3 linked regions of the Lepisosteus oculatus genome follow. The protein of the gene in region 3 purifies or fractionates together with the protein of the main gene of each other region. This does not show direct contact. Links are inferred from orthologs where the notes say so. Each region holds a gene or a part of one and is shown on either strand. Other genes may lie near its edges.

Region 1 (7,683 bases), on a different chromosome or scaffold from region 3:
AAAAAGCACTGGCAGGAAGCCACGCACGAGCCTACCATGGAGAAAGAGGTGAACGCAGCCCTCTGGTTTGGGGATTCTGGGTAGCCATTACCCGTCCCCTGAGAGAGCCAGCGTGACCCCTGTACTATCATCATTAACTAAATTTACTTATAATTCAGGCTAAAGCATGCCGTTACATAAGGGACAGCCAGTAGCTCCCAAAGCAGCCCAACAGCCCCCTGTCGATGTGGACTATACACGTGTCACAGTGTCCAGCGCACGCGCGCTCTCACACACACCCTCCATGTCAGTGTCCAGCGTGCACACGCTCTCACACACACACCCCCCCGTGTCACAGTGTCCAGCGTGCACACACTCACACACACACACCCCCGTGTCACAGTGTCCAGCGCACGCGCTCTCACACACACCCTCCATGTCAGTGTCCAGCACGCATACTCTCACACACCCCCCCCGTGTCACAGTGTCCAGCGTGCACACTCTCACACACCCCCCCCCGTGTCACAGTGTCCAGCGTGCACACACTCACACACACACCCCCGTGTCACAGTGTCCAGCGTGCACACACTCACACACACACCCCCGTGTCACAGTGTCCAGCGTGCACACGCTTTCACACACACCCCAGTGTCACAGTGTCCAGCGTGCACACGTTCTCACACACACACCCCCGTGTCAGTGTCCAGCGTGCACACGTTCTCACACACACACACCCGTGTCACAGTGTCCAGCGTGCACACGCTCTCACACACACACACCCGTGTCACAGTGTCCAGCGCGCACACGCTCTCACACACACACACACCCGTGTCAGTGTCCAGCGTGCACACGCTCTCACACACACACACACCCGTGTCAGTGTCCAGCGTGCACACACTCTCACACACACACCCCCGTGTCAGTGTCCAGCGTGCACACACTCTCACACACACACCCCCGTGTCAGTGTCCAGCGTGCACACGTTCTCACACACACACACCCGTGTCACAGTGTCCAGCGTGCACACGCTCTCACACACACACCCCCCCGTGTCACAGTGTCCAGCGTGCACACGCTCTCACACACACACCCCCCCGTGTCACAGTGTCCAGCGTGCACACGTTCTCACACACACACCCGTGTCAGTGTCCAGCGTGCACACACTCTCACACACACACCCCCGTGTCAGTGTCCAGCGTGCACACACTCTCACACACACACCCCCGTGTCACTGTCCAGCGTGCACACGTTCTCACACACACACACCCGTGTCACAGTGTCCAGCGTGCACACGTTCTCACACACACACCCGTGTCACAGTGTCCAGCGTGCACACGTTCTCACACACACACACCCGTGTCACAGTGTCCAGCGTGCACACGTTCTCACACACCCGTGTCACAGTGTCCAGCGTGCACACGTTCTCACACACACACCCGTGTCAGTGTCCAGCGTGCACACACTCTCACACACACACCCCCGTGTCAGTGTCCAGCGTGCACACACTCTCACACACACACCCCCGTGTCACTGTCCAGCGTGCACACGTTCTCACACACACACACCTGTGTCACAGTGTCCAGCGTGCACACGTTCTCACACACACACCCCAGTGTCACAGTGTCCAGCGTGCACACGCTCTCACACACACACACACACACCCGTGTCACAGTGTCCAGCGTGCACACGTTCTCACACACACACACCCGTGTCACAGTGTCCAGCGTGCACACGTTCTCACACACACACACCCGTGTCACAGTGTCCAGCGTGCACACGTTCTCACACACCCGTGTCACAGTGTCCAGCGTGCACACGTTCTCACACACACACCCGTGTCAGTGTCCAGCGTGCACACACTCTCACACACACACCCCCGTGTCAGTGTCCAGCGTGCACACACTCTCACACACACACACCCCCGTGTCACTGTCCAGCGTGCACACGTTCTCACACACACACACCCGTGTCACAGTGTCCAGCGTGCACACGTTCTCACACACACACCCCAGTGTCACAGTGTCCAGCGTGCACACGCTCTCACACACACACACACACACCCGTGTCAGTGTCCAGCGCGCACACACACTCAAAAAAAAAAACCACCCGGCCTGGACCTGCCACCGACAGATATCGACTCAACAACACTTCTGACGCCATATTTCTAAGCATTCGGGTCTTTATCAAAAAGATGTCCTGCGCTCAACCAGCTTGCGCTACCGCTTCAGACGGGCGGCCCCGCAGCTCAGTGCAAGACCTGCCAACTTCAACCCCGCGAGCAAACGAGTGAAAAAATCCTTATAAAATACACCACCGCGCCCCTGAGAGATTTAACCAGCTCTGCCGAGCCTACGGCGGGGGCAGTAGCAGTACCGCCCCCACCTGCGAGCTGGTACCGCCTAACTGGATCTCTGGCCTCAGTACTGTCGAGAGAGTTCGGGTCCCGTGGCTGCTGCGGCCGACCCGGACAGCGCCTGCTTTGGGTGGACCGCCAGTGAAGCACTAACGGTGGAGAAAGGACAATATTGGGGGTCTTTCAGAGTCGGGGAGGCTTAAACAGGATTCCTGGGTTGGGGAAGGAGGCATGTCCAGCTCCCTCGGTCCCGCAGGTCCGCTTTCCCCTCCGCGCCCGACCCGTGTCCCCTTCCCCACCCGCCGCGGGACACTCACCGTCCGGGACCTCCCTGTCGCTGATGTGCTGCAGGTAGGGCCCGGTGTCGGGCTCGCTCAGGTCCGGGTCCACTCGGTACTCCTCCAGGCGCTCCTGCTGCCTCCTCGCCCGGCTGACCTTCGGACTGCCCCCGGGAGACACGCAACACGACACGGTGTTCCCCATCCCCACAGTCCCGCTGGCGGGTCCCGGGACTCTGCTGGCGAGCGCCTCGACCCCTCAGGAAGAGCCTGCTTCGCCGAAACCCGCTGTCCTGCCTCGGCTTCGGAGCTACGAGGACGCCCGCCCGGCCTTAAAATCCAATTGCATTTAAACCGTGACGTTTGAAACCGCAAGGAAGTAGTGTGAGGTGTTTTTTCTCACGATGCGGGTACGACTCCGCTTGGAAAGTTACATCCCTCTGGCTGGTGAGCTGGGTGACCTGCCCCAGGCTGCGGGCACCGCCAGCCCAGCAGGGCGCGCTCCCAGAAGCGAAGCGGACCGCACCGGACCGGACCGGAGCCAGCGCTGTCCGAACCGCTCTCTCCGCTCGCCTCAACCCGGCGGCACGACTCCTCAGCCAATCCTACACCCGCCCCAAGAGTCCCAGAAGAAGTGAGCGAAACCGATCAGGCCGTTTCTCCTGCTACATGCTTTTTTTTTCTTTAATAAAAAAGGAAAGGATTAGTCCGAACAAGTTTGCAACAAGCGGCGATTCTTTGGAGAAGCTTCTATTTCGAGTCTGTTTTCTTTTTTTTTTTAAATGTAGTGTATGAACCTGGATTTCCACTAATCCGCTCCAACCCCGTCCGCCCGCCCGCCTGCCCGCCTGCTTGCTTCTGCTCCGGGATTTGCGTCTCTCCGAGGTAGATCTCCACTCTTCGCCCCGCTCGCTCTTACGGGATCCAAGCTCAACTGTACCTCGAGGATGAGAGGCCTACGACCCCAGGCTGCTCCAGCGGGCTTCAACCCCCCTGGGGGAGTCCAGTCAGGCACGTATTCGGCCTCAGCCTTTTTCGGAGCACGGCTTTACTCAACTCGACCCCGGTATCGGCTATGGAGAATCCCCCCCCCCGGCGCTATCCCCTCCTCCCCACCGGCAAGTTCAGCAATCCGCTCCCCGCCACCACCGCCATCTGTTCCCAGCGCCACTACCTGGCACTCACACGAGCCCCACCCACCACCGAGGCCCCGCGCTCCGATTGGCTATTTCGTCCAAACACAGACCGAGTCGAGTAGTTTGATTGGGTCGTGGTGTTGTCACGTGACCAAAGTGGAGGCGGTCAGGCTGGTCAGTACCCCGCCCACTTTTACTAATCTGGCTCCTTACTCGTTAGATTAAATGTCAGTCACCGAATGCCTCTTGGTTTCTGAACACTGCCACTGTCAGTCAAACGGCAACCCATGATACCCCTCCCCATTCCGGTGGAAAGGGGTGGGGCTTAAGGTTAAAAGTCCCTCCAAGGGTCTGGAAACATACTCCAGACCCCAGAGGGCAGCCTGCTATGTCCTTAAAGGTACAAGGGCCCACATCCGCTGAAACAGAGGGCATGATGAAAACGACACTGAGTTTCTTTGAAAAGTATTAATGTAGATTTATACAGTATATGCGGGCTTTATTGGTACGCTATGTTACACAGGAATTGCTAGAATATTTGTGCAAAGAAAAACGGCACGACGGAATATTGGCAGTGTAATATTATTCTGGCACATAGCAGAAAATAATTAAACACAGAAGTGTACCGTACAACAACAGACAGCACAGGCTCAATGAACTTTATTTGGCAATAACAGTGTTGCCAACGCCATAAAAATCACCAAAACATTCACAACAAGTTATTAATTGTAGTCGCTGCTTTTAGTTGTTGCCAACATTTTCTTTCTGCATATTAATCAGCACTGGGCATTGGTCTAATCCAGCCCAGCAAGCACCGTGCCATGTTTGTGCACACGAAGAATGTTTTTTTCAGAATTTTGTGTGCAGCGGTTCAATGGGGATTTTCATTTTATTCTAGTCTGGGATTAGACCCAGCAATCTATTTACCACTCATGGCCTCATAATAATCCCCATCTCTGAACTGGCTTCATCACTCTGCTCTCCTCCCCACTGAGAGCTGAAGTGTAGAGAGAGTACTGGTGCACTCTGGCTGCTGTCTCATGATCCAGGTGGGGCTGCACACTGGTGGTGGTGGAGGAGAGTCCCCATTACCTGTAAAGCGCTTTGAGTGGAGTGTCCAGAAAAGTCCTGTATAAGTGTAAGCAATTATTATTGTTATAGTTCAGGTGGGCACCTGCATCAGCATGCATAGGCTGCAATGGAACAAGTAATAGGTTTATTCCATGCTGAAAAAAAGAAGAAAGAAAACACAACGTTTCGGCCGTGGAGCCTTCTTGAGCCTGAAGAAAGCTCCACGGCCGAAACGTTGTGTTTTCTTCCTTCCTTTTTTCAGCGTAAATTATTATTATTATTATTAATAAAATGTCCTGTTATACAAATCAGTCTCCACACTTCTGTCTGGTAACTTTACTTCCCTCCAGGAACACACACACGTCTCCTTAACAAGTGACTTTTGCCCACAACACTTCTCGCTAGGCTAGAGCATCAGCACGTGAACTGAGAGCTAGACTTACATCATCACATCGCGAGATTGTAAGGGGACCCCCCCGTTAGCACTCCTGGGATTGCCTGAGCGACTTCCGGTATGTCCTTGATTGTTCGCTAGTGGGTAAGCTGCAGTTATTGTTTTTACGAGACTTCACCAGCAATATCCTATTTAAAATAATTAAAAAATCACACCTAGCACAGCTGTAGATAGGACATCTTACCAGGATAGGGAGAGAAGCTCTTTTTCGAGGTCGACAGAAAATAATAGTGGAACGGGGTTGTTAATAAAGTTCACCCTTAGCGTGAGAATTAGGTTTCAGTAGTAACCTGTAACCTATTCAGAGAAATAGGTTTCAAATGTTTAACATTAAGGTTATACGTTTTCTTTTTGGGGATGATTAAAACAGATTTTGAATACGATTGACTTTTTTTTGTGTGTGTGGTAACTTTTCAAGTTCGTAGTAGCTTAGCAGTGTTTCAAAAAGACTCAGCCCGCCGTGGGGACAGAGGTCGCCAGTGTCTGTGGGGCCAGGTGGAACACGTGAGGATCTACTGCACGAATCCAGGAATGAGCCAGCTCACGGGGAATCCAGCAGAAATGAGCCCCCCGGAGCTCATTTAGCAGATAAAACGACACAAAAGGAAGATATAATAGGCTTATTGCATGCTGAAAAGGGAAGAGAGAAAACAACCTTTCGGCTGTGAAGCCTTCTTCAGGTGTGAGAAAGACAGCAAAGATTCAATAACACAGAATAACAAAAGCTGGGAGAGGGGAGGAGACAGGCCACTCGGGAAGATGCATTCTTCAAAAACAAACTCCGTGCTCGTGTCGTACCGCAGAAACCGGCTGACCGGTGTGCTCTCTCTCTCTCTCCCCCAGGCGCTGCCGGCGGAGCATGGCGCTGGTCCCGTACGACGAGAGCGCCCTGCCCGCGCTGTCCCGGCTGCACGAGTCCGCCGCCGAGTTCCGCTTCGCCGGCCGCCGCCTGCGCTTGGCCCAGGACTGGGGCCGGCTGGGCGTGGCGGCGGTGGTCTGGGACGCCGTGAGTGGGCTTTTCAAAAGGGTTCAATCTAGCTGCTTCAGTCTTCAAAAGCTGCCGCTGCTACGAGGTAGCCCAGCCGTTTCCTGAAAGGAGGCGGAGGGGGGGTGATCGGACTTGTTCCGGACTCCTACAACTCTTTGCGTAAAGAAGCGCCTCCCCTCCGTCCCCCCCCCCCCCCCCCCAACGCTAATGTGAAACTGGGGGGCCGAGCGTTTAAATGTTGGTTGCAAACAGAAGTGCTGGGGCTCGTCGTCCTCGGAGGCTGTCCGCGGGCAGTGGGGGATCGGCCTCACTCGCTCAATTCCTTACATCCTTTTATTGTCCCAGATGGGAAATTAGCTGTGGGGGTCTCGCCAGCGGGGGGACGGGGCGTCTCTGGATGGCCAGCGGGGGGTCGGGGCGTCTCTGGATGGCCAGCGGGGGGACGGGGCGTGGGGGTCTGGCCGGTGGGGGTGCAGCTCTGTGCAGACCTGTGCTGTCCCGTCTGCTTGCAGGCCGTGGTGCTGTGCATGTACCTGGAGCTGGGCGAGGTGGAGCTGCAGGGGAAGAAGGCCATAGAGCTGGGGGCTGGCACCGGGCTGGTGGGCATCGTGGCAACACTGCTGGGTGAGTACCGGCGGTCAGGGGCCCTGTAGGCACTGTCCCTTCCCGGGCACTGCGCTGTACTCAAATTGTGATGGAGCTGTCGCTGTGGGAGGAGGCACCTTGGAAAGCCGTGTTTCGCCCTGTGGTTTGGGGTCATGGAAGAATGGTTCGTGGAGCAGGAGCAAACTCCTGTCTGGTCAGACTCTGATCGCAGTGGTTTATGTTGCGACAGGCCGAATCTTCCGTGCTCCCAGGCAGGACGCGCACAGCTGCTTGGCGACCTGCGTTCGGTGTCACCTGGCCGTGCGCGCCCCCCCCATCGGTCTCATTCAGGCGGGGGGGGGTCGGTTTGGCAGTGCAGGCTGGGAAGGGGGTCTGACGTCTGACAGGGCCCCTGCTCTGTGTCCTAGGGGCGAGGGTGACCCTCACTGACCGGGAGCCCGCCCTGGACTTCCTCCGGGCCAACGTGCGGGCCAACCTGCCGGCGGAGCTGCGCGGCGCGGCGGAGGTGTCCGAGCTGGCCTGGGGCGAGGCCCTGCACCGGTACACCGCGGGCGGCTACGACCTGGTCCTGGGGGCGGACATCGTCTACCTGGAGGAGACCTTCCCGGCCCTGCTGGCGACGCTGGAGCACCTGAGCTCGGAGGGCGGCGTGGTGCTGCTGGCCTGCCGGCTCCGCTACGAGCGGGACCGGGCCTTCCTGGCCGCGCTGGGCCGGCGCTTCGCCGTGGAGCAGGTCCACTACCACGCCCGGGGGGACGTTCGCGTCTACCGGGCCGTGAAGCGCCGCGCCGAGCCCGCCGGGCGGGACCTGTGACGGC
Region 2 (8,149 bases), on a different chromosome or scaffold from region 3:
TGTGTCATGTGGCACTTGTTTCTCATGCAACTGCTAAAGCTATATAACAAGAAGTAGGAAGAACGTCTTAAGGAATACATGGTGGCATGGAAAGCACAGCTCGATTTACACAGAAAAAAAACTTTGGGAAGGAGCCAGATTCAGTTCACTGTAGAAGTCGAAATGATTAAATTGATCAAAATGAAAAAAAATCAAATGTGCTTGGTTGTTGAGTGACTCAACAAACTATGAAAAGGCGGTTGCTGCAGGTGGAGCACTATGACCCAGAGGTCTCAGGCTAGAACCCGAGTCTGTAGCCTGCTGCTTAGGAAACCCCAGCTTACTGACTGGGATTCCCCTTGCAGCTGCTTGGAGTTAGTAAAGTATCGCCAGAGCAAGGCAGACAGCAATCAGTAAGGGCTCTCTCAGCTTTCCATCAAAGGCCAGCTTTCTGAGCACCCGGATGTGATGTCAGAGAGAAACCCACCCCTCATCCAGTCAGTACTAACTCTCCCGTCAGGCACCACTGAGCCTGCAGAGTGACCAAAGAGCAGCGTCTCAATAGGAGGGCAGGTCAGACTGAGGCTTGTCCCTCAGTCCTCATTCTCTCCTTCAGCAGTACTGGAGTCGCTGCTGTGAGCCGAGACAAAGAAACATTTGGCGAAAGCAAATTGGGTGTGGAAAGAAAATCAAAACTAGGAAAAAAATTGTTCAAATAAAAAAAATATTTCCCCCTTGCATCGCTAATCATACAATACAAACTGGAAGTAATGTTTCACTGAGTTAATTTTGAACTTTATGCTGCAAATATTGATTGCTATGCGATTGTCAAAATTTTCTTTCAGTTTATAAACCATTTAAAGCCCAAGTAACTAATATTACAGTACCTCAATGTTTATTTAGTAAGGTTTAAAATGAAAAGCACACAAAGTAATACGAAGGGTAATAACTTAATTCACTCTGATTTACCTGTTCTAACTATATTAAATGTTAAACATCTTTTTGCAATGTTTAGAAAATGTACCTCAGAGGTTTCCTAGTGAAGCTATAAGGGAGGTGTCTAATAGTGATGATTTGTTCTAGGATCTGCTGTCCTAGAATACAACAAGGATAGTGTGACAGGCCAGTTACTTGTCTAGAATGGCACCAGTACTGAAAGGACAAGCTTATAGACAAGTTCCAAAAAAGAAATTAAAAATTTTATTTAGTTTATAAAATGGGAAAGCCACCAATACAATAGCCGCTTTTAAATTATATGCCTTTTAACTTTCTATGTTTTGGGAATCACCAAGAAATATTTAGTGCTTGCTTAGGCGTATTACTAAGTAGTAAAATTCTACAAGAACTGAGTAGTAAAATTCATGGAAAAAAAATATTTGCCGACTTCTGTAATTGGGATTAACCTGGAAAGTTGTTTTTACATGATAAAATGGTAAAATACGTGCAGTAACAGTGATTCGTGCAATTCATTATGCTGTTTTTTTGTCAGTCTTCAGATCAATTGAAGCTATAAAACTGTTTAACATTAATATATCTCATTGCAGTACTGTATTTCTCTGTAAAAGACGTGCCTTCTGATTTTAAAGAGTATTTTCATAAAGGAACTTTCACTGCTGCACTAGTGAGTTTATCATAGCCTCGTTAGCCTGTAAATGCTACTTAAAAATCCGGAGGTAATCAGGGTTTATTATCGCTTTTAACAAATGATTTCATTCTTCTGACTTTTACAAAGCAATTAAGCACAGTGCCCATAATAGGCTACGAACACTAATACTGTGGTTTTGTAACCAAATTTAGAAGAGTGTTTTAATTAACATGTAGTTCTTTTACGGATCTTACAAGACTGAATGAAGATTAAAATCATTACACACAGCAGTACAGTCATGGGAGTGCCCTGAAGTCGCAGTTTAAATTAACCTTTAGGGTATCGGCTGTTCAAGGAACATTTAGCTACAGAATAAAACAATAAACGGCCTTATGCCATAACGTATTTATAAACAATCCAATCTGAATGAAGTAAATAATGTTTAGATTACACACACCTTAAGAAGTTAAATGCAATCAGATCAGAAACTACCCACAGTACAACCGGCTGGACGCTGGGCTCTCACCAAAAAGACCCAGGAGAACCCGGGGACCCGCCCGCAAACATGGTTTGAACTAGGTCCACAACAACAAATTATCGATTCCTCTTATTGGAAAAAAAAAGTTTTAACAGATCAAGGCTCTTCGTTGTAAAGTCACTCGCGGTAGGGAACATTTCACGACAAAACCATGTAATAACTGATTTATGAACGTGAAACAAACATATGGAGAGGTAGTGTGTATGTTTGGTAGATGGATAACAATATAAAACCCCAAACACCGCTATGTAAATAACTAAGTACATCAAACAATGAACAACCTTTATTATTTAGAAGCGCCGATACCTTAAAAAAACAAGATGCAATAAAATTCATGCTCACAGCGGGATGACAACATTGAGGAGCCAACCTAATCGACTTGTCAGTCTGTGTCAAAGCTCCTGTCGCTTGTTTGCAAAACACAAGGGCCACCCAAAAAATAAATCACAATTTCTACTCGCTTGTACAGATACAAATGACAACAAGCACGATCCCGATTAATAGTCATACGATTCTCGAGCTTTTGAGCATCTTCACGGTTTCAATTCTTACAACTTAAGAATTAAAAAATAATTTCAAGAATCTTCAGCAATTGCGAACCTCGCAGCACTGTAACTAGTCCTCTTTTTTTTCACAAAATATATGCCGAACAAAAAGGAGGGGCTTTGGATTTACGAAATCGACGTTGGTTTTAGCGGTCCTGGATTTTTTTTTCCTTCACGTTAGACATGGTGATTTATCTGCCGTCTTACCGTCGATATTCTCCCTGTCGCTGATGTGCTGAAGGTTGCAGCCCGTGTCTTCTCGGCTGAGCTCGGGCTCCGGGCGGTAGGACTCCAGCCTGGAGTGAGCGTTTCTCCGGAGCTTGGGGCTGGAGGACACGCAGCAGGACGTCGTGTTCCCCATTTTTAGGGTTGTTTTTTAATATACTCAGTGCTCTTCAGCTTTGCTTGGCAGCACAGACCGAAGCTGGTCTTGAAAGAGAAGGCTAGGGCGCCGAGGGTGGAACTGCAACACCAGAATATCCGATCAGTTATACACCCTCGTCCGGTCCTAGCTAGCAGCAGCAGCAGCAGCAGCAATAATGCAAAGCCATTTGCGAACAGAAAAAAGAGCAAGAAATCGGAGAAAGGTTTGAAACCCTCTCCCTTTTCTTTCTGCCCGCCTGATATTTTAAGCAGGCACTGAAATCTGCACAACCCACGCAGCAGTCTGGTTTACTTGTCGTGATTGATCTAAATAAACAAAACGAAAGGGGGTCTGCTGTTATCCCCTCGTCATTTTAAACCCATTAACAGGGGCATGTAAACTGAGGATGTTAGCGAAACATTGCAAGCGTCGCGGCTCCTGCTGTCAGTGTACATAGCAAACAGAGGCAACACAGTCGAAGCAGTTTGATTGAAAAGGTTCCGGTTCAAGTGGGTGGTAACGCTTCTGCAAAATTCGCTGCTGGGAGCCTAAAAATGTGTTGGACAGGAAAGAATGGAGGGCTCAAGCGTAATATGTAGTTTTTCTCCTGGAAATGAAGTTTTTCTCTTGTCGTAACTGCGTTTATTATTAAAATAGCTGTACTCATTTCGTATTTTGTAAATTAAGTAAATATAAGAACGGTTGTATGTTACACGTAATTTACTGTACACCACAGAAAGGTGTTGTTATCTGTTTTATATGAATACAAATGTTTCTTTTTGTTTTAGCTTTTTGTAAGTATGTTTGGCGCTAGGATAAAAAATGATTAAAACCTAGAAATTATAATGTTGGAAAGGTCTCTAAAAAGATATCTCGGATTATTTAAAAAAACGGTTTGGTCCCATTTCCTGCTGCCCAAATATTAGTAATTTTATTATTCCAGTAATCAAAGTAAATTGTGCCAATAAATAAAAAGACAGAAAAAGAGAAAGGAAATCCTTATTTATTAGCATATAAATGATGTCTATGGACATCACATACTCTTCACTTGGTGTTAAGTATTAATTTCTATCACATGTGGGAAAGCTGTAATAATTGAATAGATATTAGCTTAACCCGTCTGCTATCTGCGTGCTTGTTCACCCACAGACTGGGAGATCGTCAGTCTTACAATAGTTCTTTTTCCTACTGTAACACATTTTAGAGAAATTCAGATTTCTCTGCAGATAATGTTTACATGGTAAATGTCACATTTGTGTGACTTTGATAAAGATCAGTATAACACAAAAACTAAGAATTGCCTTTGCTTTGTTTTTGAGTGGTTTAAGGAACTTGCAAGAAATGTGTTTTGGGAATCACATAAAAAAACTACTAAGGAAAGTTCAGCAGTAGTTACGTTCCAATTACTATTACTAACATGTCAGCCATTAACTGCATATCAGATACACTTTTCACATGAAGCAAGTTTTTGTTTCTCAGTATCAGTTATGTTTCGTAATGTTGTGCAATGTTTTTTTATATGTCAGGGTCTGTTTCAAGTCCATTTGTGTTTTCTGTTTCAAATGTTTTGCAGTTCATTTTTATTTTCTACCTTCAAATAACAACCTTTAATATCAAGAGGATGTTATTTTAATGCACGTATATGAGAGTAGATTCAGCCTGAAGTGTTGACAAACAAGCTATTTGGATTCAATGGAAATCAGAGAAGGATACTGGGGGCCATTTCCTCTAAGTAGCTGTGTGAGGATTTGTTTAAAATTAGAGAGACCCAAACAAGCCTTACTTTACTCATTTCACAAACTACGAATTTGTGTTTCACTTTTTAAGTAACATTTTTTATTCATGTGGCCTTCAAAATTACATATATTTTTCTGTACATATCATGCTACAGTAGTGTACATCAGTAAAGTACTCAGCTAGTAAAGATCTTTTGAATATAAGGGTCCTAATCAGGGCTATGACTCTGTGTGGGTTGTAATTTGTGAAGGTTAGCTCAAGTCACTGAGGCCCTGGGTTCAACTCCAAACCTAGGGTGCTATTTGTTTGGAGTTAGTACATTCTCCACATGTTCGCGTGGGTTTCCTCCGGATGCTTCAGTTCCCTCCCAAAATCCAAAGACACACTGGTAAGTTTATTTGCTGCTGGGAATGTTGGCCCTGGTGCGAGTGTGTGTTTGTATATGTCTGTCCTACGATGGACTGGTGTCCCATACAGGGTGTACCCTGCCCTGCGCCCATTGCTTGCCAGGATAAGCTCCAGCTCCCCCGTGACCCTAAATTGGATGAAACGGTTAGGAAACGCATGGACAGAAGGAATTTGCCTCACAACAGTGTCCTGCATGGCAGAGAGAAGACAGCTCTAGAAATGAGACAGTGAAATCCTCAGCCTCACTTGCTACTGTCATGTTCTTTTCTGTATTTATGGGATTCCTAACATGGGCAGCATAACAGACACAATGCCCTCTGCTAAAACAGATAAAGACTGATGTGCCTTCATGCTGACTGTGACACCTTGAGGAGCTCCGATTACTAGTAAGGGCTTGTTATCTAGTTGAGAGATGAAAGGTCACCTATGTAGGTCTGTAGCAAAGATGGCAGAACTGCCCTGACATGACACAGCCATTGTTTATTATGTATGCAGGTCTGCATTACAAAATGAAATAGGATGTAAATCCAATTTGATTCAGAAATGTTTTTTTCATAGTGTGTTTACAGACGCATTTTCAAATTCTTGCTGATGATAATGATCAGGAATCTACAAATGATTCGGCAGCATTGTCAGTAGTTAGCAGTAAGGGGGGTTATTTATTAATAGGGGTTTTATCTAGTCAGCTACACATCACCTTGTTATTCATTCGATATCCTATCCACGAAATATCACATTAGTCTCTCTTCAGTTACTGTAAAGAGTGAATTAAGAACTGACTTGACAGGTCACAAAAGTACTGAGCTGCTCTCTTTTTACTTGATTGGAATCTAAGTTAGTTGTTAGGTTTGATTTTCTAAGGTCTTTCCACAAGCTGTTGGGTTGCACACATCTATTGTGGTTATGTCATCTTTAGCTTTGCGGGACTCCTCCTTCTGTCTCCTTTTTCCTCTTTCATTATGCTGTGCAGTGGAGAAAGGTAACGTTAAAAATACAAATGCAGTTATTTACATATACCTAAACTAGAACTATTCGGTAGTTGTTTGATCAAAGTGAAATATTTAAACATAAGGTGAAAATGACAGCTCTCTACACTGGCATGTTGAGCAGCCTTGAAAATGAATGAAACCCAACCATAACCTGCTACCTCATCAACTGAATACACCTCTTCAGCACTAATAACACAAGAAAGGTTGCAAATAAGAGGAGGACCTTCTGCCCATGTAGCCCATTTGGAGTTTAGTAGCTAATTCATCTAAAGATTGTATCCAGCTGATTCTTGAAACAAGCCAGGGTATCCATTTGAACAAAATGGCTGAGCAGACGGTTCCATACTTACATAACCTTTTGGGTAAAGAAATATTTTATTTTCTCAAATCTAAATACACTTTTGTCTAGTTTTCTGTTGAGACCTTTTCTAACCCGTTTCATCCATTTCAGGGTCATTAAAGAGCCAGAGGCTATCTTGACAAGAGATGGAAGTAAGGCAGAGTATTCCCTGGACAGGATGGCAACCCACTGAACTAAGCAGGTGTGAGCCTGGTCAGTACCTGGATGGAAGACCAACTGGGAAAGCTAAGGTTGCTGCCTGGAAGAGGTGTTAGTGGGGCCAGCAGGGGGCGCTCACCGTGCAGTCTGTGTGGGTCCTAACACCCCAGTATAGTGACATTATACTTTAAAAAGGCGCCATCCTTCGCATGAGACGTAAAACCGAGGTCCTGGCTCTCTTTGGTCATTACAAATCCCAGGATGTTTCGCGAGAAGAGTAGGGGTGTAGCCCTGGCATCTGGGCCAAATTTCACATTGGCTTTTAATCAGTCATGGCCATGATTAAACCTGTGATTTGGCTTCAACACTCAGCTCTCCTCACCAACGATAGCTGATGTGTGGTGAGTATACTGGCGCACTATGACTGTCGCATCATCCAGGTGCATGCTGCACATTGGTGGTAGTGGAGGGGAGTCCCCGTTACCTGTAAAGCGCTTTGAGTGGAGTGTCCAGAAAAGCACTATGTAAGTGTAAGCAATTATTAATTATTATTATTATTATTATTCAACTCACACAAACAGAGGGAGAACATACAAACTCCACACAGATAGTACTCCAGGCCTGAAATTGACCTCAGGGTCCTAACACTGTGAGGCAACAGTGCTAACCACTGTGCCACTATGCCTCCACACTTTCTATTACGTATCTAAACATCGGTTGCCCCTTTACTTTTTCAGTACATTGATTAAAAGATGTTAATGATCAGGCAACACAAACCAAAGTGTTTTTCACTAGTAGCCTCTTCAAGGGAAGAGCAACACAACCCTCTGCAGCTCCTTCTGTCCTTGCTGTGGGTGCTGCAGGTGGGCAGTGTGTATGAATGACAGAATCTAGGAGTATTAGAACTTGTGTCACACAGCTGGGAGCCTTCAGTTGTTGAGGTACCACTTTGTATGATTACAGGTTGCCCTGGAGAGTAAATGTGATTTAGAGCTAACCTGTAACTTTAGATGCCATTCCACAGCAGTTAAGGACTGTGTTGAGTCAGGCCCCTTCTGCCTTCTGTATTTACTGAAGTGTGTCACCGTTCCAGTCTTTTTAAGTGCTTGTTTTATGTGTTGGTCACTAATGGACTTGATGAATTGTTCTCTGGTCAGGTCAAAATATATATACACTGTGGTGCAAAACAATAAAGGCATTTTTTCCTATACAGGGTGGCAGTGAGCTGGTGCCTAATTCAGCAGGCACTGGGCTCCTAGCACAGGATACATAGACATAATGAAGACTCCTTAAAGATGCCAGTTAACATAAACAGTATGTATTTTGATAGTGGGAGAAAACCAGAGAAGGAGAGCATGCAAACTCCACAAAAAAATCAAACCAGGACTCAAGAGCTATAAAGCAGCAGTGCTAAATGCCATGCCACTGTATCAACCTAATTTAAAAGATGAACTATTTAAATATATCATGATAAATGACCTTTGGTGAGCTTTCTAATGAACCTT
Region 3 (7,984 bases):
TTGTAATAAATATTTGTCTATATTCATGATCGGCCCCGGCTTCCTGCCACACCCTGCACCCACACAGACCTGCACCGCTGGGCTCACAGGAGCCTCCCCGCCCCGCCAGGCAGCAGGGCTGCGCCGCAGCAGCTGTCCTCCTGCTACCTGTGGGGTTTCTCCGGCGCTGGAAGCGCTGGACAGTCTCCCAGTCTCTCACCAGCCACACGAAACCCTGGCAGCCGAAGTGGTTCCGAAACACCGCTTGGGTTTTAAAAGGAGTTTGCAATCACCAGACGTGTCCTATTCCCCCCAGCACACACACACACACACACACACACACACACACAGCACGCACCAGAGCAGTCCCTGCTCCCTCACCCCTGCGCTACGCCTGCGGTGCACCGATGACAGCCAGGCTATTCTCCAGAACAAGCAAGAGAGGGTTTCCCCCAAAACAGGTCTTACTTTAAACCGCAGCTGCAGGCAGGCGGGCAGGCAGGATCCTTAGGAAGAGGTTTTTGTCTCTCGTCGTCTGTCTCACCGACTAAGTCCCACTCTCCCTCTCTCCACCCCCCTTCTCTTTCACTCATGCTCTTTCAGCCACCCTCCACCCCCCACCTTCCAGCCTCCAGCTCCCTGCTCCCAGCTCAACAATACTTGAGTTTCATGCTTTCCTGGGGGGGAGGAATGGGAGGTGGTAGGGCCGAATTTAGAAAGCTGGGCTCAGAGGGCCTGACTGTGACAACTACAGACACACAGACACAGACACAGACACACACACACACACACACACACACACACACACACACACACACACACACACACACACGTGCTGGGAGTCCACGTTTCTGCACAGGAGAATCTCCAGCTTTTCTTAGCCTGCCTGCAAACGTCTCGTCTTGCTTCTGAGTCTCAGCTGCTCTTCTGTCGTCTTCTGCTGTTTTAATTGATCTCGAAGTGAAGGTCTGAAGTCCAAATTTGAGCTGTCCGGGAAGTGACGAAGCCGAGCGCTCAGAGGTCAGTGGATGATGCAGGATGGACAGGCAGGGTCAGAGGGTTAAGACGGGGACAGTCTGCCAGGCTGGTGGACAGGGTAGTAGTGAGCAGACGGAGAGAGGGCGCGTGTGATAGAGCAGAAGCTGAGTATTTATAATCCTGCTTGATCCAATTGTGTATTAATCCCTGTCTCTCCTCCCCACCTCCTGCCCTCCCTCTTTCCCTTTCCTGACACGCAGTATAGCCCAGGCCCTCCCACACAGGCACAAGCACAAACACAGGGCGCTCACCCAGCTCGCAGCCTGATTCAAATCCGTGTTTGATAAGCTGTACTTTGGAGCAGTAAGTTTATACCGGTATACAAATACGCCCAATGAAGACAAGTTCTCATGAGCACTGCTGGAAACGGCCACCAGAGGGCGCAACAAAAGAAAGTGTGACAGAGCCTTAACTCCCTCTGGTGGCCGGTTCTTGAAGTGCTCCTAAGAACATTTCTTCGTTGGCTGTTTGTATGTTTGTGTTTTCGGGTATGTGGCGCTGTTGAAATCTCCGCGTGATGGTGTCAGGCATAAAGGGCTGTGCTGAGTGGATAAGCTGACGGGTGTCTGTAAGGCAAGTCATGTGATTGCAGGAGCTCAAAGGAGGACAAAGATGTCCAGGGAGATCTCATACAGACTGTTCTGGAAGCATCTCTGGGAATCCCAGCTTCCACGCCACAGCTGGGCCGCTCGCTTCTGAACCCCACAACTCTCGGGGTAAGGTGTGAGGACGTGCCTCCTGTACTCGTTTGTAAGTGCGCTTCCCTGAGGTTTTCTGCGTTTATCCCCTGGTTTGTGTTTCCTTCCTTTTACACACTTGTGAAGAGGCCCAGTGAGGGCTGACCAGAGATTTAAAATCAGGTAGAGCAGGAATAAACACAGCCGTGAAATGTGCAGGGATTCACTGGCAGCTGGCTGGAGATTCAGCTGGAAAAGAATTACATTGTGGGTGCATTTACCACAGTCCATCACAGTAAGATCACGTCCTACACTGGTAACTGTGTATTAGGATGTGGTGAGGTTAGGACCCTTCCTCTGAAGGCTTCTTTTTTTACGTTTCTTCCACATTTTGCTAATGTTTCACACTCGACAATCGCTTGAGTATTGAAGCCAGCAGGCAGGCGAGAAACACACGGACGAAGAGGAGCCCTGATGCGGAGTCTCTGCGTGCTGTTCATCCTGTGCCAGCTCTGACAGAGTGACCTTTCCCTTCTGTGAGCGCCCCCAGGCTCTGGGCACACAGCGCACTGCCCTACTGCGCCAGTCACCTGCAATCTCATCACCACATGCATAGAGCACAGAACAAGCGCTTATGAGTGCACATACAGAGGATCAAGGGCTTGTGAGCACACACACACAGAGGAACAAGGGCTTGTGAGCACACACACAGAGGAACAAGGGCTTGTGAGAACACACACAGAGGATCAAGGGCTTGTGAGCACACACAGAGGAACAAGGGCTTGTGAACACACACACACACAGGAACAAGGGCTTGGGAGCACACACACAGAGGAACAAGGGCTCGTGAGCACACACACACAGAGGAACAAGGGCTTGTGTGCGCACACACAGAGGAACAAGGGTTTGTGAGCACACACACAGAGGAACAAGTGCTTGTGAGCACACACACAGAGGAACAAGGGCTTGTGAGCACACACACAGAGGAACAAGCACTTGTGAGCACACACACACAGAGTAAAATATGCTTGTGAAGTGTACACACACACAGAGGAACAAGGGCTTGTGAGGTACCCTGCCTTGTTTCATCTGCAGCACTGGAGATATTAAATGTGCACTTTTGCCCTTTGGGAAAATCGCAGAGCTACCTGACAGATACGTTTTTTTTAATTCTTTCTGTATAACGTTGGGAGTGCTTGTTCAACGTTCACAGCTCAGTGTGCCAGTTTCCATGTCATTTGGCACTTTTTAATTTGTCCCCTAAATGGCCTTTTCCCCAGTGATTGATGCACGCACGTCTGCTCCGTGCTTTTCCACTCTGCCTCCCAGAATGAGCACAGCTGCTGTGGCGGATCGGGCTGTGTTCAGTGGGGGCGCTCCTGTAGAGAATCTCCAGGGCTGGGTTTAGTCAGATGTTAACTGTCCTCTCCTGAGCAGGAGAGGAGGAGCCATCTTCATAAAGAAAGATGAGATGAGAGATGCAGATTGAATAATGAATCAATCACGTCTATGAATTAATCAATTGCATCTTGCAGATAGGAGGGAACCCCCAGACCCAAATGGATATGAGCGGTCATTATGGGACAGTTTAAACGCACTGATAAGGAAATATCGTGAGAGCACCAAAATTGTTCCAGAGCACGTTCAGCAATAGGCTGATCCCACCACGGTGCGACAGGGGGCGCTACAGGAGGTCATTCTTGCCTTCTGCCCTAAGACTGTACAACGCCTCCACTGTGTGTCTGGGCAGGGGCAACATTGACCTGTTTTTGGACTAAACATAAAACTCTGCTTCCATCTGGTTTTTTCCTGTTTACAACTGTTTTATGTGCAAGATATGCTGGGGAGTTGTGCAATATATTTATAATGCGCAATACATCTTGCTGTGTCCAGTAGTTTCGGGTCTCCTTTTGTATATTTTGTACTGCGAGCAACTCTGTATAATCCATTTTTTTCCTTCTACTGCACTTCCCACTGACTGTATTGACTGTATGGTATTGTTGTATCATTTCGTTACACTGTGCTGTGCTTGACTTTGTTAAGCTGCCGTTGCACTGCAATTTCCCTCACGGGATCAATCTATTGTGCTTTAGGCAAGCTTTCATTTACATACCCTAGACGTTAGAACTGAATTAGCACTTGTAAATCCCGTTTGTCTGGAATAATAGTTTTGGTTCTGTAGATTCTCTTCCTCGTCCACCTGCTCTCTGAAGCCCTCAATCCGTGTGGCTAAGGCAGGTGCCCCGGTCGACATCCTGTAGGCACGCTGAACGGGCGCAGTCGCGTTCCAAGCTGCTTGTCCACAAAAGGCTACACATCCAGGCAGCCACAGGTGTCGAGTATGGTTAATATTGTAGCGTCCTCGCCGCTTCAGGTCATCCCCCCACCGTTAGGGACTCGAACCCGGGCCTCCAGCGTCACTCAACAGGGACCCAGCCAGTTGAGCTACAGGGAAATCTCCCCTTAGCCCCCCGCCAGAGGCCCGGGTTCGAGTCCCCAGCGGTGGGGGGGCCGACCTGGGGCGGCAGCGGCGAGGGCGCATACCCACGTGAGCCCGAGAGCGCTACAATATCTACACGTGCGATTCAGGCGTTGTGTTCAGTACGGATTTACCCGTTTTGCTTCGCTTGACGTTACTTCTGAGCGGGGAAAAAAGTGCAGAATCGCTCGTCTGCGAGGGACTGAGTGACTGCAAGCTGCGGCTTCTCACTCCGGCCGATTAACTCCACAGGAAACTCAAACTTCACTATTTACCTCTTTTTTTTTTTACAGCAGTTGTCCCTGTTAAAAGCCGAAAACAACACTCTCTTACACGGGAGATTAGAAAATGAAAATCGTCCAATGCGACAACCGAGTAACATTTCCTTTTCAAAACGTTACTGCTGTCTCTCAGAAAGGGTCTCATTCTCCTGAAGCAGCCGGGGGGTAACGTCTCCTTACTTTATCGGTTGTGCGGGACGCTTTGAAATAACTGAGATCTACCCTTAAAGTGATCTCTTTAACGTCTCTCCCTCGATCTGCTTTACGCGACCTATAAAAGTCTAAAAGCGTTTGCGGAGCTCACTGAGGGCGTGACAGCTCCGCGACGAGTTTTTGTTTTTAATGGCCTTAGCGGTGTGTTGTAAACCCTTTCCGAGCTGAGGCAACGGATCTTTCGATGTGCTCGGTTCCGAATCGCAAGTGAAGGCATCCTTATTGGTGATTAACGAGATCACCAGGTTTCTCTCTTCGGTATTAGAACAGGTTCCGATCATCTTTAAGGAGGACGGGTGTTGAGCTGAAGGCCAAATCCTGGGGAGTAACGACAGTGTGGTCAGTATGAACTCGGAATAGCTCGGACTGCCGGTGTGCATCTTCAAGTGACGGAGTTTCGCGGTGTGAAATATGTAGGGAGACTGTCGCGCATCTCGCTACCACGATTCCTTAGATAAGCCATCGCCGTAACAGTGCAAAAAAAAACCCAACAACCATCCTAGTCCGCATCTGCCGTGAGTCTAGGTCTGATTTACGCATGAAATTCTATTTTGTTTCCCATTTCAAGCCGTCTCTGTTTAAACTCCGGGTCTTGACGTACAGCGCAAAATTCGCTCTCCGTCAGAAGGGGAGCCCCCGAAATTTTTACTTATGGGCTTGGAGAGGAGGTTTGGGGGACTACAGAACTCGGGTTCTGGCCCCCTGTTTTCTGGACACGTGAAATCGCTCGGTATGACCCCGGCTCCTAATCCACCAGACCGGGGTTCGGGATCCTCACGTCTGTGACGCAGATTATTACGAGGCTGTTCCACCATTCTCCAGTGACGCGACCGCCCCCCTCCCCCTCTGCGCCCTCACCAGATGGTACGTCCCTGGTTTCTCTGAATGGAATTCGGGCCGTACCATCGCCGGGCACCGACGAGGAGAGGAGGGGGAGGGGACGTGTCAGTCTGGGGATGGGGGGGGGTTAGAAAACCTCACAGTGATCGGCGAGTTACAAGCCGGGCACGGGGTTGTGAGCGGTGATATCAAAACGGGAAAATCGGTGGAGCGCAGCAGCCCGGGACGTGAGGCACGGCGTGGAATATTTCGGTCGGGGTGTACGAGAGCAGCCCCGCCCCCCCCTGTGCGTGTTTCAGTCCAGGTTTTTGTGACTCGCGGCTGTTCCCGTCTCCCCCCTCCGCTCCCAGGATTTAGGGAAAGGGGGTAGAACAGAAAACCAGCTGTGCCGCAGTTCGCGAAAAACACCAGCGGCTCGGGAGCTGCCGGAGGTCGGGGGGATATCCGCGTCCTGTCGGAGCCTGCCGGACCATGGCTGAAGACTACTGGGAGCTGCCAGCGGCCCGGGGACATTACTGAGACCGTGCAGCCAGGGCAGCAGACGTCCCGCGGCGGGGTAAGATCTCTCCCTCTCTCCCTCTCTCTCTCTGCGGGCGGTGGGAGGGTCTGCGGGCGCGGATTTGCCCCCGTGTTTGTGCACGGGGCAGCTGGACGGCGGGGCTGGGCAGAGGCTCTGTCAGCCTCCTGCTGCCCCGCTTTCCACGGCGAGGTCCCGCAGGATGAGGTGTTTTCCGCGTCGGCTCCCAAGTAACGGAATCGCCCGCATACCTGCCGCCGACTGCTGGCGGGCTAATTATAACACCGCATTCCTGCGCGCCCGCGGCGGTTATTTCCGTGCCGGGGGGTCGGCGGAGGCAGGTCCGGGGGTCTCCGAGTCTCCGCAGCGCGCTGGACCACTGTTTCATGGGGATAATAATGACGTCATACAAGTGCCGTGATTTATAACCCCCCCCACCCCTCTATTGATAGCGGCAGGGCTGAAACGTGGCCGGTGCCGTGTGCCGCAGTCTGGGCTCGGCCCGGTTCCGGACGCCCGGGCTCGGGCTGGTGAGGAGAACCTGTCCGTCCGCCTCGTCGTTCGGCTGTTACCGCACAGGGGCCGGCGGGGCTGCGCAGGGACGGCGATGTTCGTGTGTTCAAACGGACTTGGGGTGACTGGGGGGGGTCGGCGGGGTGCGTTTGTCAAAGACACAGCGGGTAGTCGTGGGTCGTGGTCTCGGGGTCCGGAGTTTAGCGAGATCTCTCGCCCCCCCTTTTCCTGTGGCTGGAACCCAGGGCCGGAGGGATACCCCGAGTGGGGGGGTGGGGGTCTTTAACCTGCACGAGCTCGCAATCCCCCCCCCCCCCCCCCTCTCGAGGACCGCTCGCACGCATTCCGGGCCGGTGCAGCAGCAGCAGCGGCGGCGGCGGCGCACGCGCCCGGGCTGGACGGTTTCGCGTGGACCGCGCGAGGCTGGCCGCCGGGGCTCGCGACGCGCGTGGCTCGGTTTCCGGAGAGCGGGGGCTGCAGGTGCGAGACGGACTGTGAGGCTGGTCCCCGGCGGAGAGGTGTACAGGGCCGTGCGTTACGACTGTCTTGCGTGTTTAACTCATGACAGCGCGTCGTGAAGCCGGAATGAATAGCTCTTTTAGGATGGCACTTTGGGAACTAATGTCGTTATTGCGTATTAAGGTTTGCGGTACGGCTGCTCTTTCAGGGCAGGCGAGCACGTCTGTCACAGCGCCTCCAGCCCGCAGCGCTCCTGTCTGCGATGCCCACGGGCGTGGGGTGCCGTCACGGGTCCAGCGCGTGTGTGCGGGCGCGCGGGGTGCCGCTGCGTGACGCCGTCCAGGCGCCGTGGTTCCGGGGCTCGGGGCTCTGAGGGGTCGCGGGCCCCAGCCCCGGGGAGGCGGTGACGTGACCTTGGCCCGTGCCCCCCGAGGGCAGCGTCGTCATGGAGACGTCTTCGGGCACGAGACCGGACGAGACGCTGCAGCTCCGCTGGCGGGGATGGGGTCAGTCACGAGGAGAGGGTGCCTCGCTCCCACCCCTGCCCCCCCCCCTGCCCCAGCGGGGCTGTCCCGGGATCACCAGGCACCCGGGAGGAAGAGGAATTGGACACGCTTTCTGTTTTTAAAAAAAGAGGGATGATGTGATTGTATTCGTTAGTCAGCTTCCCCTGATCTTTGGAGCTGGAAGGATCTCTCTCTGGGCTCTGCCTTTGGCCTGAGGAAGAGGAAGAGGAGGGTGAGAGCTGGTGTTTCCGCCATTCAGAGCCCTGGGGTGCTGGAGGAGGTGGGCATTCAGAGCCCCGGGGTGCTTTGTGTCTGGCGCTGGTCCGAGGGTCGTGGGCCTGGCGGGTCACCCCAGGGGGGGCTAGCTGGGCTTTGGCCACGGGACAGGTGGAGACAGCTGTGCGCCGTGCCCGCGGTCGGGGAAACGCTCGGTACCCATGGCTTCGAAGAAGTCGGAACCACAAGGCCGGCTCTTGCGTGCC

What was found.
Region 1: the proteins of cdk16 (region 3) and ccnyl1 purify together in Homo sapiens (affinity purification with mass spectrometry; 4 studies listed by BioGRID and IntAct, counting the BioPlex papers as one, with this or other methods). This does not show direct contact. The link is inferred for Lepisosteus oculatus from reciprocal best matches to the Homo sapiens genes CDK16 and CCNYL1.
Region 2: the proteins of cdk16 (region 3) and ccny purify together in Homo sapiens (affinity purification with mass spectrometry; 3 studies listed by BioGRID and IntAct, counting the BioPlex papers as one, with this or other methods). This does not show direct contact. The link is inferred for Lepisosteus oculatus from reciprocal best matches to the Homo sapiens genes CDK16 and CCNY.

What each region holds. Positions count from the first base shown.
Region 1 is NC_090707.1:7,597,506-7,605,188, forward strand, and holds the start of ccnyl1 (cyclin-Y-like protein 1), read right to left. Parts: upstream 3,449-7,683; 5' UTR 2,816-3,448; coding exon 2,650-2,815; intron 1-2,649. Other genes in the region: protein N-lysine methyltransferase METTL21A, read left to right, coding at 5,899-5,951, 6,115-6,277, 6,772-6,883, 7,273-7,679. UniProt on the Homo sapiens protein: Key regulator of Wnt signaling implicated in various biological processes including male fertility, embryonic neurogenesis and cortex development. Activates the cyclin-dependent kinase CDK16, and promotes sperm maturation.
Region 2 is NC_090701.1:38,337,083-38,345,231, forward strand, and holds the start of ccny (cyclin-Y), read right to left. Parts: upstream 3,523-8,149; 5' UTR 3,009-3,522; coding exon 2,855-3,008; intron 1-2,854. UniProt on the Homo sapiens protein: Positive regulatory subunit of the cyclin-dependent kinases CDK14/PFTK1 and CDK16.
Region 3 is NC_090697.1:76,680,056-76,688,039, forward strand, and holds the start of cdk16 (cyclin-dependent kinase 16), read left to right. Parts: upstream 1-4,779; 5' UTR 4,780-5,006; intron 5,007-5,610; exon of another isoform or gene 5,611-5,857; 5' UTR 5,858-6,063; intron 6,064-6,532; exon of another isoform or gene 6,533-6,554; intron 6,555-7,984. UniProt on the Homo sapiens protein: Protein kinase that plays a role in vesicle-mediated transport processes and exocytosis. Regulates GH1 release by brain neurons. Phosphorylates NSF, and thereby regulates NSF oligomerization. Required for normal spermatogenesis.